2 linked regions of the Xenopus tropicalis genome follow. The protein of the gene in region 1 interacts with the protein of each later gene in a pairwise test. Links are inferred from orthologs where the notes say so. Each region holds a gene or a part of one and is shown on either strand. Other genes may lie near its edges.

What was found.
Region 2: the proteins of bicd2 (region 1) and rab6a interact in binary tests that used the Homo sapiens proteins (3 or more experiments, as listed by UniProt). The link is inferred for Xenopus tropicalis from reciprocal best matches to the Homo sapiens genes BICD2 and RAB6A.

The regions. Positions count from the first base shown.
Region 1 is NC_030680.2:150,881,280-150,883,797, forward strand, and holds part of bicd2 (protein bicaudal D homolog 2), read left to right. Parts: intron 1-666; coding exon 667-818; intron 819-2,435; coding exon 2,436-2,518. UniProt on the Homo sapiens protein: Acts as an adapter protein linking the dynein motor complex to various cargos and converts dynein from a non-processive to a highly processive motor in the presence of dynactin.
Region 2 is NC_030678.2:174,065,968-174,070,335, reverse strand, and holds the start of rab6a (ras-related protein Rab-6A), read left to right. Parts: upstream 1-1,300; 5' UTR 1,301-1,403; coding exon 1,404-1,473; intron 1,474-4,368. UniProt on the Homo sapiens protein: The small GTPases Rab are key regulators of intracellular membrane trafficking, from the formation of transport vesicles to their fusion with membranes.

The sequences.
Region 1 (2,518 bases):
CCAGCGAGTCAGGTCTGTCAGGCTGCTGCCTTGTGTTACACTGTTTCAGGGGTCAGTCTCCCCCAGCGAGTCAGGTCTGTCAGGCTGCTGCCTTGTGTTACACTGTTTCAGGGGTCAGTCTCCCCCAGCGAGTCAGGTCTGTCAGGCCCCCAGGGCAGAGAATAGAAAGGGACAAACACTGCTTCTAATAGCAGTTATAAATACAAATAATATATATATATAAGTTGTATTAGGCAAACAAATATATTCTGGGTTGACTTGTCCTTTATCCATGGCCAAAGTAGGTTCCCTTTGCCAAGTCTGCATGGCGGAAGCTCCGCACTTAATCCCTGGATTATCTGAACGTGCCCGAGCCTCTCGGCCGGTGAAACCGAACCCCGGGCCCTACAGCTGCTCCCCAACTGGCGGTATCTCATGTTCCGTACATGCCAGTCACGCCTCAGGCTTCATACATATCTCACAGCTAAAGATTCTGGGTTATTTCACCTCCAGTTGAATAAATTGCTCATGGTTTGTGGGTTCTTTGCCCCCTTTTTTTTATGTTTTCAGCATTTCAGACGCAACACTGCCGCTGTTGATCTCCTGCTGCTGATTGGACTCGCGGCGGAACTCGGCGCCGACAGACCTGAGCCCTTTGGAGTAAATGTCTCTGTGCTTCTGTTACAGACGGCAGAGGTGGCCTTGGCCAATCTGAAGAGCAAGTACGAGAACGAGAAAGCGATGGTCACGGAGACGATGATGAAGCTGCGCAATGAGCTGAAGGCACTAAAGGAAGACGCTGCCACCTTCTCCTCCCTGAGGGCCATGTTTGCCACCAGGTACAAAGCCCATACATTCCATTGCCCCATTATTCTGCCCCAGTCTGGCTCCTGTGTCCACTTGGCCACCTTCTCCTCCCTGAGGGCCGTGTTTGCCACCAGGTACAAAGCCCATACATTCCATTGCCCCATTATTCTGCCCCAGTCTGGCTCCTGTGTCCACTTGGCCACCTTCTCCTCCCTGAGGGCCGTGTTTGCCACCAGGTACAAAGCCCATACATTCCATTGCCCCATTATTCTGCCCCAGTCTGGCTCCTGTGTCCACTTGGCCACCTTCTCCTTCAGTCTTAGCCCAATGCAACTTGTACTGAAATCCCATAGGCAGAAGTACTCTGTAGATGCGTCCAATGGGGCACAACTTAGGGCTCTGGCAATTGTACCCCCAGAGTTAGTAAATAGGCAATGCCCCCCAGGACTACACAGCCTTACAGATAAGACCGCCCTGTTTGCAGCCAAGGGATCAGTAACATAATATTCTGCCTCGCAAGGACCAAACATGGAGCAGCTTCAGTTTGGACAGGGGGGTGTACTGCCCCTTTAAGTAGATAATGTTACACTTGGACCAGGCTGTGCCTCCTGTCATTGACTTTAATGGTATCTGGCTAATTAGCAATTAACTTACATGCATGGCTGCACATAAATCAGTTTAGTCTGCAGCACACATCTAAATCAATTGCTAAATGGAAGGCATAGAGTTGGGGTTTCAGGTTTTTATCATTTTATATAATATATGAAATTACTTGCTGCTTTTAAAGGGGATGTTCACCTTTGAGTTAACTTTTAGTATGATGTAGAGAGTGATATTCTGAGGCAATTTGCAATTGGTCTTTATTTTTTTCAATGATTTCAGCAACTCCAGTTTTGAATTTCAGAAGCTCTTAAGTTGCTAGGGTCTCGATTACCTTAGCAACCAGGGAGTGGTTTGAATAGGAGACTGGTATATGAATAGGGGAGGGGCTGAATAGAAAGATAAGGAATAAAAAGTACCAATAACAATAAAACTGGAGCCTCACAGAGCAATAGGGTTTGGCTGCCGGGGTCAGTGACCCCCATTTGAAAGCTGCAAAGAGGCAGAAGAAGAAGGGAAATAATTCAAAAACTATAACAAATAAAGTCAGAAGAAGAAGGCGAATATTTCCCTATATAACCCACTTTTTTGGGTTTGGCTGAACCCCCGAACCCACCCTGACAGATTCTGCCCAATCCTAATTAGCATATGGTAATTAGGATCGGAAGGGGTTAAAAATTGCTGCGCTGCGCACGCTACAAATTTTTTCCCCCCTGACCATTTACCGTGGGACCGTGGATACGGGCGAAACCGAATCCTTCAACAGAAGCCTGGATTCGGCCCGAATCCCAAACCGAGACTGGGATTCAGTGCATCCCTAATAAAGTGAATAATGAAGACCAATTGAAAAGTTGCTTTAAATTGGCCATTCTATAACATATTAAGTTATTCTAAAGGTGAACCCACCCCTTTAACCCTTTAGTTGCCAAGTGGCAGGCAACGTTGATTCTGTTACGGGTTATTGCCGTAGGGGCACGCAGTTTAAGGGTTAAAGCTTTGGGATATAACGCCTGTGTGTAATAACCGGCTCATTGTCCGTTGGGTTTCAGGTGCGACGAGTACGTCACTCAGCTGGACGAGATGCAGCGGCAGCTGGCGGCGGCGGAAGACGAGAAGAAGACGCTGAACTCCC
Region 2 (4,368 bases), on another chromosome or scaffold:
ACAGCAAATAATTCCCTCTGCCATTTAACCTTTTATTCTTGAACCAACAAATGTATTTGTAGCTGTAATATTGGTGTGTAGGCGCCATCTCAGTGCATTGTGCCTGAGTCTGAGCTTTCAGCCAGCGCTACACATTAGAACTGCTTTCAGCTAACCTATTGTTTCTCCTACTCCCATGTAACTGGAGGAGTCCCAAGCCGGACTTGGATTTCTTACTATTGAGTGCTATTCTGATACCTACTGGGAGCTGCTATCTTGCTCCCTTCCCATTGTTCTGCTGATTGGCTGCTGGGGGGAGGGGGGGATATCACTCCAACTTGCAGCGCTGCAGTAAAGTGTGAGTGCAGTTTATCAGAGCACAGGTCACATGGCTGTGGCACCCTGGGAAATGAAGAATATGGCTAGCCCCATGGGAAAACAGATTACAATGCAGGATTCTGCTGGAGAAGCTCTAATAACATTTTCCCATGTCAGTATTCCTTCACACTAGTACTGTTTCAGAATTCACTTAACAACACGTTTGGCACACAGAGGGCGCTGGGAGTTGTAGTTCACTAACATGTCTAGCCGCAGGTGATTAGCGGCAAGGTATTAGCTTGGGGTTCAGAAGAGTCACATGACTGTCCCACCCATGTGACCTGTGCCCAGCGCTGCTGCTGAGGGAGGCACTCCGGGGAGCAAAGCTCAGCCATTACGTCACCCGGAAGTCACGCTAACTCAGTAACGTGGCGCCCGCAATGCGCGCTGCAACCAAACTGCCACGCAGGCTCCACCTCACTGGACGGAAACGGAGCTTTAGTTTGGTGCTTCGCTATTGGCTAGGAATGCCGAGCAGCTCATCCAATCAGAGTTGTTTACTCAGAGACGGGTCAGGACGGCACGCCCCTTTGCGTTGATTGGATTGCGGCTTGAAGGTTCCATATTGGTTGTGGCACCCCATAGAGTTGACTATCCTGAATCAGAAACACAAGCGGCTATCAGGCGCTTCCGGCAATTACTTTGCCACACGCCAAATGGCGCCCTTGACAACCCTCATACGCCCCGCCCCCGCATTTCCTGATTTGACAGCATCCCCGGCCGCTGATTGGCTCTTATACCCAGTTGGCATGGTGACAAGGCCTGGCAGGCTAGTGTGCGAGTGTGCGTCCCTGAGGGTTGGGCCTGGTACACAAGCCTGTGAGACAGGGTGGGGCTTGCCTATCAGGTGTGTGTGAGAGGTCACGGGAAGCCGCTGCCTGCCCCTCCTCGGCCGAATCTGTCGCTCTCCCCAGAGCCAAGGGCGCCCCACCCTCACTCTCCCGGGACCCTTTCCTACCGCCTATCCCTGCTGCCTGACCGAGCGCTCATTTCCGCCCGGACTTCCACTTCCCTTAACCGGATCTCGGACCCGGGTTCCCGGCACCATGTCCGCGGGAGGAGACTTCGGGAACCCGCTGAGGAAATTCAAACTTGTCTTCCTGGGGGAGCAGAGCGGTAAGGGACCCAATGCCTGGCTTCTTATACGCCTTTATAGTCTGCAGCGAATCCCTTCGTCTTATAGGTGTGCATTCTATTCTGTATATCCGCCTGTGACACACACACACACACACACACACACACACATATATATATATATATATATATATATCCCCTGATCTCATACAGATATCTCATGGCTTTTTATACGCCTTTATAGTCTGCAGCGAATCCCCTCACCTTATAGGTCTGCATTCTATTCTGTATATCCGCCTGTGACACACACACACACATATATATATATATATCCCCTGATCTCATACAGATATCTCATGGCTTCTTATACGCCTTTATAGTCTGCAGCGAATCCCCTCACCTTATAGGTCTGCATTCTATTCTGTATATCCGCCTGTGACACACACACACATATATATATATATCCCCTGATCTCATACAGATATCTCATGGCTTCTTATACGCCTTTATAGTCTGCAGCGAATCCCCTCACCTTATAGGTCTGCATTCTATTCTGTATATCCGCCTGTGACACACACACACATATATATATATATATCCCCTGATCTCATACAGATATCTCATGGCTTCTTATACGCCTTTATAGTCTGCAGCGAATCCCCTCACCTTATAGGTCTGCATTCTATTCTGTATATCCGCCTGTGACACACACACACACATATATATATATATCCCCTGATCTCATACAGATATCTCATGGCTTCTTATACGCCTTTATAGTCTGCAGCGAATCCCCTCACCTTATAGGTGTGCATTCTATTCTGTATATCCGCCTGTGATACACACACACATATATATATATATCCCCTGATCTCATACAGATATCTCATGGCTTCATAGATATCTTTATAGTCTGCAGTGAATCCCCTCATGTTATAGACATATCTGCATTCTATTCTGTATACCTGCCTGTGACAAACACACCCATATATATATATATATATCCCCTGATCTATAGCTCATATCTGCATTCTATTCTGTATATCTGCCTGTGACACACACACCCATATATATTTATATATCCCCTGATCTCATACAGATATCTCATGGCTGCTTATACACCTTTATAGTCTGCAGCGAATCCCCTCATCTTATAGGTCTGCATTCTATTCTGTATATCTGCCTGTGACACACACACCCATATATATTTATATATCCCCTGATCTCATACATATATCTCATGGCTTCTTATACGCCTTTATAGTCTGCAGCGAATCCCCTCACCTTATAGGTGTGCATTCTATTCTGTATATCCGCCTGTGATACACACACACACACACATATATATATATATATATATCCCCTGATCTCATACAAATGGCTGCTTAGATTCCTTTATAGTCTGAATATTCTCTTCTGCCTCATAGATATGCCCCCTCTCATGTCCTACACTCAGCTTCATAGAAACCCCTATAAACTGATATCCCCCATGTTATATACAGATATAATATTATATTTCTGCTCTATTCTGCACCTTTATAGCCCTGAGCGAGACCCCTGTTCTGCTACATTGTGTCTCCGTATTCAGTCACTTTCAGATATAAATATATATAATAATGATTTGCTATGAGACACCGGGCCCTATAGCAGGTAATTGGGATAATGGCCTGGGTACATACTATATAAAGAGACCTGCCTGTTTAATTGGGTGCCAGCGACGTCTCTGAACTGGATTCCTCACATACACAGAATGGGAAAGTCACCGGCGTTTATACAGGATTGCAGCTATATACAGGGTGTTATTATTTCCTTATATACAGCTCCCTGTTATGGGATATCCTTATATATAGTATTAGTGTATAGTGAACCTTATTGTTTCACCCCACCCCCTTTTTTAGGGTTCTATTTATAAAAATGGGGGGTAACCATAGACATAACCTGGAACCTTTACTCACCCTTTAACTAAAGCACTGTCCCTAGAATTTTCTTATCTCCTTAAACCCTATGGGTGAACCCCCAAGCACCATCACTAGGCCCTTATGGGTAACCCTATAAACATTACACCTGTAACTCTCAAGGAAAATCTCCCAGTCTGATACTTTTGTTAAATGCCCTAAATGTTGTCTTCTGCCTCTGAATTCCTTCGTATACACATTATTCCTTTAACCCCTTGGTTAAACCCTCAAACACTTTGGCTAAAAACTCTTATCCCTTTTCTTTACACCCTTAATTGCTTTCCTTGACACCATTTAGCTAAGCCCCTAATGCCCATCCTTTGCACCCTGTGCTAATGCCCATCCTTTGCACCCTGTGCTAATGCCCATCCTTTGCACCCTGTGCTAATGCCCATCCTTTGCACCCTGTGCTAATGCCCATCCTTTGCACCCTGTGCTGATGCCCATCCTTTGCACCCTGTGCTGATGCCCATCCTTTGCACCCTGTGCTGATGCCCATCCTTTGCACCCTGTGCTGATGCCCATCCTTTGCACCCTGTGCTGATGCCCATCCTTTGCACCCTGTGCTGATGCCCATCCTTTGCACCCTGTGCTGATGCCCATCCTTTGCACCCTGTGCTGATGCCCATCCTTTGCACCCTGTGCTGATGCCCATCCTTTGCACCCTGTGCTGATGCCCATCCTTTGCACCCTGTGCTGATGCCCATCCTTTGCACCCTGTGCTGATGCCCATCCTTTGCACCCTGTGCTGATGCCCATCCTTTGCACCCTGTGCTAAGCCCCTGATGCCCATCCTTTGCACCCTGTGCTAAGCCCCTGATGCCCATCCTTTGCACCCTGTGCTAAGCCCCTGATGCCCATCCTTTGCACCCTGTGCTAAGCCCCTGATGCCCATCCTTTGCACCCTGTGCTAAGCCCCTGATGCCCATCCTTTGCACCCTGTGCTAAGCCCCTGATGCCCATCCTTTGCCCCCTGTGCTAA